2 linked regions of the Bombyx mori genome follow. The protein of the gene in region 1 interacts with the protein of each later gene in a pairwise test. Links are inferred from orthologs where the notes say so. Each region holds a gene or a part of one and is shown on either strand. Other genes may lie near its edges.

The links.
Region 2: the proteins of max-binding protein MNT (region 1) and max-like protein X interact in a two-hybrid assay, tested with the Homo sapiens proteins (2 studies listed by BioGRID and IntAct). The link is inferred for Bombyx mori from reciprocal best matches to the Homo sapiens genes MNT and MLX.

What each region holds. Positions count from the first base shown.
Region 1 is NC_085122.1:12,275,869-12,280,401, forward strand, and holds the start of max-binding protein MNT, read left to right. Parts: upstream 1-1,693; 5' UTR 1,694-1,741; coding exon of another isoform or gene 1,742-1,811; 5' UTR 1,812-4,533. UniProt on the Homo sapiens protein: Binds DNA as a heterodimer with MAX and represses transcription. Binds to the canonical E box sequence 5'-CACGTG-3' and, with higher affinity, to 5'-CACGCG-3'.
Region 2 is NC_085115.1:6,335,930-6,340,310, reverse strand, and holds the start of max-like protein X, read left to right. Parts: upstream 1-1,489; 5' UTR 1,490-2,238; coding exon 2,239-2,314; intron 2,315-2,447; coding exon 2,448-2,524; intron 2,525-2,917; coding exon 2,918-3,028; intron 3,029-4,114; coding exon 4,115-4,312; intron 4,313-4,381. UniProt on the Homo sapiens protein: Transcription regulator. Forms a sequence-specific DNA-binding protein complex with MAD1, MAD4, MNT, WBSCR14 and MLXIP which recognizes the core sequence 5'-CACGTG-3'. The TCFL4-MAD1, TCFL4-MAD4, TCFL4-WBSCR14 complexes are transcriptional repressors.

The sequences.
Region 1 (4,533 bases):
TCCTCCTGATCCATTAATTAGCTACCTTTTAGGTACCACAAGCACCGGTCAACGTCCTCGTCGAACCCGTCGTCTAGCTCGACGAGCGAAATACCCCACAGACACAGCTCACTGAGTTTCTCGCCGGATCTTCTCAGTGAGTCGCGTTTCCGATCCGGTGGTAGATTCTGCGAAGTACTGCTCTTGCTAAGGTCAGTGTTAGCATCACTCCGGTTTGAGTCCCGTGAGCTCACCTACACGTTAGGGCGATATAGCCTCTCAAGGCTATCAGCATAGGTAGTAAAAAAAAAAACAATTGTATTAGTGCGAAATGATAGTATGGGATACCTTATGCACTTTGTATGGTGGTGAGCCCGCCTATTTCTGCCGTGAAGCAGTAATGCGTTTCGGTTTGAAGGGTGGGACAGCCGTTGTAACTATAAAACAGAGATTTAGACCTCATGTCTCAAGGTGGGTTGCGGCGTTTAAGTTCTTGTTTATGAGCTCCGGCACGGTGTAATTTGGTTGGTTACCACAACACCAGGACGGCCGTGAATTCGTCGTAAATAATAAAAAAGTGAGTGCATTTAGTAATTATTATCAACACTTAGTGTAAATACATTTGTATCTACATTATATTATGGTTATTTTGTATTACGGGCATATAAAGCGTATAAAATATAGGTACTACATCTGGACATTGCGGATCGATATAGCCAATTATCAAATAAAATACTTAGGTACATTTAAATATCTACATACATACATACCTACCTATTATGTTCAACAACTATAATTATGAAGTTACATTGAGCGATAGCTACTTTATATAGGTGACACTATCTATCATCAGTTACAGGAAAATGAAAGGTTTTAAATACATAGGTAGTTAAATTAGGTATTTGTACAATTTCCTTGAAGTTGATACCATCGCCATCCATCGCATTTTAATGCATTTTTATCATTCAATTGTTCATAGGTACAATATATTTTAGTCAAGCAGCTTTTAACTAAAATAATTTGTAGTTGTAATTAAACATTCTTTGAAGATGGCACATGGAAACACAAAAAGTACTTGAAGATAAGTAAGTATGTATGTGAGCACCTTATTTGTTTAGTTTACTCATTCTATTACATTACATCATATCACATCCCTTTGTTCTTGATGATTGATATTTTATCTTTTATAACTTTACTTACTGTCTACAACCATTGACACAATGCGTTTAGAAATACGCATAATGAAAAGCCGATAACACATTTTCACTTCACCTTACTCATGCAACTTGTTTGATGTTGTGGAGCGGCTATCGAGGAAGTGAAAGTCGGTCGAAGTCTCGCACGTATACAGACTCGTCGCAATATGATAAACGCGGGGTTTCGTTGACTTGCTGCGAATCTCTTTAGGTTTTCGTCCAAAATAACGCATCGTGCTAGCATTAATAACGACTGGCGACACGTACATACATAGCACAGGAAAAATAACAGATAAACAAGTGTGGAACGTGCCGCGTCACCGGCTTACGGGCGGGGGCATGCATGCGATAGTTCACGATGGTTGCAACGACATCGATCGCGCACGCCCCGCGCCTTGTCAACGCTACGATGATGTTTATTGGTCGGCCGGCGTCGTCACGTGACCGGCGCGCTCGACACCCATTGGCCGGCGGCGGCAGCGGCCACGTGAGCGGCACCGGGCCCGCGTGCCAGTCGCGGCGTGACAGCGGGCGCGCCGGGACCGCGCGCGCCTGCCGCGGTCGACATGAGCCTCCTCGACACGCTACTCGAGGCGGCGCGGTACATCGAGCTCCAGGAGCGGCGCCTGCAGGCCGGTGAGTAGCCCGCGCCGGCTGCGTGTGGCGCCGCGCCCCACGCTCTTGACCTTGAGTGGCACGCGGTCGGCGTCCCCCGCGCGCTCCCGGCTCGCCTCACCCCGCGTAAACAAAGAAAGCCTGAAATTCACTCGCAGAACGCCACGCGTCGCACGTTCACCTCTATTCGTACACGCAGAATTGGCCGTGGTTCATAAGGGCTCGTTGTGTCGAACTTCGTATCAATTGGCGGTCTAATTAATATTATGAGTCCGAGCGGCGAAAGAGAGCTCATCGCTCGGCACTTGCTGGTGGTGCGAGTGGGCGGCGGTGTGTACGTGGAGTCGTGACGCACCGGCGCGGCGAGCAGGGGGCGCTGGAGAGTTCGGTCAGCTGATCGCAGGGAGGGGACGCCGGCAGCGGGGGGCGCGGGACGTGTGCACGCGCAACGCCCGGTGGCTCGCTCTGCATTTTGATGTTCATAATAACTTGTCATCCTCAGGACGATACGAATTTTAGAATCTGTATGTAAACTGACTAGAGGAAAAACTGGCACAAGGCGGGGTTGCGTAACGGTGCGTGCTGCCTCGCGCCGGCCATTGTTCGTGATGGACTCGTTGCCTCGGTGTGCATTATCGAAACTCGCGATAAACGGTACCATTTACAACACGCCATTGTGACCGCCCGTGACGCCACATCATTATCAAAGCAGCACCTCACACAAATGTATGACCGATAACACGATCAGGGCACTTTTTCCTATTTTGTTTATATGTTCAACTCGATTCCACCATGACGCTAAAATCAATGAAATAGAAATCGCCTTCGAATAAGCAGCGAGAGTGTAGCAAAGAAAAAAAGGGTCGCACGATGAAACAAAATTGATTGCCCTTTTGAATGTTTAATAATTTAAGTAGTAAGTACATTTTAACAGAAACAAGATCCGCTGAACTCAGATGATTTCAATCTTAATTACCGCTCTAAGAAGATTCTTGTTAAAGAAATAACAGGGAATAAATTGACAGCTATATTTTAAAAATTAAGAATATGAAATTTTGCTAGTCTAAAACGACTTTAAATCTTCAGCTTGGAAATTATTTTGTGGTTAAAACCAAATAATACATTGCACATTCATTCTTGTACAACGCACACAAATAACTTTTTCAATCGTTACCTACACGATTTTCTCTTCGTCGGAAATATACTTGACAATTCATTAAGATTACAACCAACCAATTGAAGCAAGCTAATAAAAGATTATTTAAACGAAATCATTAAAAACCTATTCAAGAGTCGGTATCGCGTTAAACTAAAACGAAAAACCTGAAGAACATTAAATCAACACAAAACAAAACTAAAAACTACTAATACCAGCTATTCGCTGTGATTTCCTAAACACGAGCCGAGCGCGCCTGTGAAACGAAAACCGCGTTATCGTGTTTGTTCGACACTTATCAACTATCGCCGGTTTTACTGAGCTTTTGATAGCGCTGACCGCCGTAACGTAAGAGAGAAGATATGTATAAAATACAAGTATGTTTTCACTTGATCGTAGCCCACTGAGTTTCTCGCCGGATCTTCTCAGTTGCGATTCCGATCCGGTGGTAGATTCTGTGAAGCACTGCTCTTGCTAGGGCCGGTGTTAGCAACACTCCGGTTTGAGCCACGAGAGCTCACCTACACGCAAGGGTAAAGCTGAAATAGCCACTCAAGGCTATCAGCAAAGGTAGGAAAAAATATTTCATCGTTTGGGGGGTTTAGTTGATTAGTTCAATAGCTACATTTATACCGACAGCTTGACAAAATGCAGGAATTAATAGCATCAGTTCCGAGGATCTTATGATATCAGTCAGTCCGGCTAATATGGCCTGGTCGTCCATTGTCGACCAATTTTGTAACCCAATGCTGCAGCAAAATGATTATATTATGCACTCGCGGAAACTAACTGATTTAATAACAAGTAAGGAATATTTAAAATGAAAATCTGGACTACTATGTCTAGTCTAAATGTTTGGTATTGTCTAGCTTTTACCTCGAAGTTTTTCTTTTAATCTGCTAACTTTAAGGTATTTGGTATAAGTTTTTTATACGCATTTCATTAAACACATTAATTATAGAAATATGTATTACATAAAGGAGCAAAATCTTAATAGAGTTATAGAAATAAAGTAAACGCAGAACTTTAAACTGAGTATAATTTACTTATCAGAAAGGTGAGTATATATTTGAAAACTCTAACATAAAATTATAATAAAAAAACTATCAAATCGTTATCCGAGAAGATAACTTATTTCATCAGACGTTGTATTCACGAATCCTATTTTTAGCGAAAATCTTCTTCAAACTAAAACTAGAAAGTTTGCCCAGACTTGAATTTGCATATAGTATAGTTGAACAGGTCGGTATCGATGGCGATACGACTTCCACCTGTTGATATTAACTTTATTGAAATGAGTTAACAAGTTGTTGCTTTGAATCGAGCCTCGCAATCAATCAACATGGACTCGGGTTATGACAAAATTAGAAAATCTTAGATAGAGAATTTAGTATTTAGGTCTCACGATTTTTTTTATTGCCCTTCTAGGCAAACGAGCATACGACCGACCTGATGGTGAGTGGTTACCGTTGGCCTTGGACTTCAGCAATGCCAGGGGCAGACTCAAGCCGCTGCCTACCGTTAAAATATGACACGAGCCTTTCAACTGAATGACGTAAATTTTAAGTTAATTAGAACTTAGGTTTT
Region 2 (4,381 bases), on another chromosome or scaffold:
TCGTCGTGTTTATAAAAATCTTCCATTGTTACTATTATCCACTGGAATCAGAAGAGATGAAAGTCCTAGTAATATAATGAAAATTTGCTGAGAGATTCTTGGACTTTTACTCCAGTGACTTTGATTCATTTTCTCACATTTATGCACTTTCGCGGATGCTAAGCCATTAAAAGGCTACTATTATATCACGTTTAAAACCAAAGAAACACTAAATAAGCAAAGAAAAAACTTACATCACATTAAAAATCTACATTTATAAACATAACATAAATAATAATAATAATAATTAATAAATAATATTAGGAGAACATTAGTCAGTCGATGGTTGAATGCAAATATAAATAAATTATTTTCTATTTAAGTATTACGTTTTTCTTGGGTTTTTTTTTCAAATCGTTGTTACTTTTGTTTTTGTTTTACGTTTTACTTTAATTATTTAATTCTAGGCGTTGCGACGCCACAATCGTTTGTAGTTATTTAAATACGGAGACGTTTAAATGGTGTTTAGTTGTAAGGTTAGATTTTATATGGTTTAAGTTCACTGTTTGTCTTCCAAATAAAATAAAATAATATATAAATAAATATACAATTATATAATATATATAAATAAATAAATTTCCACCCTTTATATTTATATTATTATTATTATACTTCATTTTAGCTCAACTTGCTTAATTCCAATTCATTACATATTCGCATTAATCAATTTTAGAAGATTAGCAAATTTTCTAATATTTAACAGCCGAAAAGTGAATTCATATATAAATAAATGTAGATTCCTTTAAAATGCAACAATTTGCAACATTTTAAAAATACAACACCACGGCTTTCATACATAATATGGTGAATATTACTAATTTTTTTCTTTATACTATACTTATTTTACTCTTGTACGTTATTTGATAAACATTCGGCTCATCTGATGCTATGTTGTTATCGCAGCGGAACTCATTCTTTGATATTATTATGTGAATAAACAGCTTTGACATATGAAGGACAAATCCTGGGCCTCCTATCCTGTTTGAAACAAGAATTAGTGCCCATCATTCAACACGCACGCTAAGCACGCCAGTAACTTCGATTGGAGTTAGATTCTACTAATTCAATAAAAAAGATGTAAGACGAAATTTAACTCGTAAGAACTCTGTATGTTGTGACTGTCGTCAGTATGTGTTTATTTAATAAACTGATATCACATGTTAATTTTTGAGAAACACTGCCTAGAACTTTTGGCTTTTTAAGCCCTTTCTAGGACACCCTTTATAATATATAATAATAAATAAATAAATATAACTAGCACTACTACAACATTAATTTATGCATAATTTTGAAGATTTTATAAGCTTGATTAAATTAAAATTACTCATATGTGTATTTTCTGTTGCTTGCAGAACTGGCATCATGAGCAGTCGATTGCCATATTGAAAAAAGAAAATGTTGACGTTGACAGTCATCTGTGCTGTGACATAAATATTTTAAACGTTGACTTTTTGGCGGGAATGCGAGGAGTGAAGTTGTGTGATTTGATTCATTTTGTCTATTTAGTGTTTCTTAAGATTTAAATGTGTAATAACGGTGGTTTATTAACTGTTCAATATCTATGAAAGTGCACAAATGTGGGAAAACGAAACAAAGCCGCCGGACGCAACTTCTCGAGATCCTCCAAAATGTCCACTGAAAAAATCTCAGTAAATGACCACCATTTTACTGAGATTATATTTCAACCCATATCATCTTATTTTATTTCATTTCATCCCAGTTGATTAACGTCTCAAATTAATCATCTTAATTTCATTTCACTCCATATTATCATTTTTCATAAAAATAAGAATATAAAGTAAAGTAAGACATGACCTAAAGGTCTTAGTTACCAGGTCATAAAATCCCTTAAAAAAATAATTTTAAACGTAATTCTCGTACCTACCTATGTAGGTACTTATGTACGTAATTGTACCAAAAGTCGGAAATAATACTGTATTTTAGTTATCAGTAATTTGAAATTTGATTTTAGTATTACGTTACGTAAATGTTACGTAACCACATGGTTCAAAAGTGATTTAATTCGGGTCATGAAGTACTTGTCCAAGACTATCTTATATTTATAATGTTATCAATGTATTCTTCATACCCTACATAGAAATAATGGAACAAGGCACCATGAACTCCGAAAAGTGAAAGATCGCATTAATGTAATGTTTTATTTTATTAAAGTTTCATTATAACAATTAATATCCCAATATGTATCCTCGTTGTGGCAGTAGCGGATCTATTCAAAACATACATCAAACGCCGTCCTCCTCAAATCAAAACACAGGTAATGACTTTTTCTAAAACTTGTTTTACATATTTTTGTTTAAGCGACATATTTGTATTTTCGTTTCGCACTCATTGATAACAAATGGATGAAATATATTTGTACCTACTGTGAATGTTATTATTTTGTATAGAGGATGAAGATGACAGTGGTGACAACAAGGCATCTGCACTCAGTTTCAAAGAGAGAAGAAGGGAAGCTCACACACAGGTTAGTAATATCACCTAATCACTGCTATTAAGAGATGATTTAACAAAAATTAAATGGACTACTGAATTTATAATACAGATTATTAATCTTTTACTAAATGGAAATGATAGTTTTTGTAGCAATGCACACTTGTTGAATGTGAAAGTAAACACTATCACTAAACAAAAAAAAAGAATTGGCTTAATATACTCAGTAGACTTTCCTATATATTTTCTTTGGGCTATTTTCATATTCTCTCTATGTTAATACATAATTGTTATTAACTATTAGGTATCAGGAGTACTTCTTCCTGTGGGTGCATTTTGGGCACTCAAAGAACAAGAACTGATAGTTTTATTTTAATTTAAAATACTGGTTTTATAATAGTCTTTATCTAACTTTTACATTTTTCAGGCAGAGCAGAAAAGAAGAGATGCAATTAAGAAAGGCTATGATTCACTCCAAGACCTTGTGCCTACTTGTCAGCAGAGTGATGCGTCTGGCTACAAACCAAGCAAAGCTGCAGTATGTTAAGTTTCTTATCAAATTAATTGTTAAATGTGTAAATAAGAGGTTATCAATTTTATGAAATTTGAACAACCTTGTAGACTTTATCATTCAGATATGTTAGGGCTGTGTTATCACAAATAATGATATTTATTATAGTTGAGGACTGCTGCGCAAATATTTATTATTATATAATGTGATCATAGCTATCCCAGATTATCTTAAAAAATAATTAGAAACTTCTATCTCACAATGGGTGGCAGCATTCTAACTTCATTAATAATTGTGTCTTAACCTTAAACGTAGCTTAAAGGTTATAATTGAAGTAAATTTTTAGAAAGGATAATATTGGTATACAAGCTTTTTAACCTGTTATTCAAACTCTGGCTGTGTGGTATTTGCCTATTTGTTGTATATTTTCTCCGAGTATCTATTAAACCAGCGTAGTACGAACACCTACTCTCATTAACTGCCGTTCCTGCCGTTTTTCCATAACAGAGCAGTCTAGTTTGAAAGGTAGAAAAGCTGTTATACTAAGCAATTGAGACTTAAACCTTATGACTCAAGCTCCAGATTCTTCATAACACCATATGGTCCATAATATCAATTAATCAATAAACCTTAAAAGTGCTTGTTCACTTTAATTTGTTCTGTTTTTAGTTATTTTATTTATTTTGGGCTGGATTATCAATTGAGACTGATTTTTACCTAAATGCTTGTACAAAAACTGCTGTAATCACTTAAATTAATAAACAGACAAAGTAAATAAAATAGATAGCTTGTTAAATGTAAACATATTACAGTTAAACAGTTTTTGAACTATTAACTAACTATAAAAAAAAAAAAAAGCCTGCATGCACCATTGATGTATTACTCAGTGAAATTGGGCAACACCATTGTAACTGTGTGTGTAAAAAATCATCCTTCCTCAATCAGATAAACCAAATTATAAAATATCAGCATTGTTCAAGTAACATACAAACCATATTTTTTTAATATTTGCTTCTTTTGATTATTACATGTAACTATTACTATCCTGTCTATAATTTTAAACTCTGGAAAAAAAAAAGCTTACACTTCTTAATAAGTTAACCTAACTTGCAGGTCCTTCAGAAATCAATTGACTACATCCAGTATTTGTTACAACAGCGTCGTAGACAGGAAGAAGAGCGCAATGCATTGCGTAAAGATGTTGTCGCTCTTCGTATAATGCAAGCAAATTATGAACAAATTGTTAAAGCTCAACATTCCGTACCTGGTCTGAATGAGCAAAGGCTGACGGACCAAGACAAATTTCAAGTGGTATGTATGTATATAACTTTTTTAAGAAAACCCGTGAGACTATAAGTCATTTAATTTTATTGAGATGAT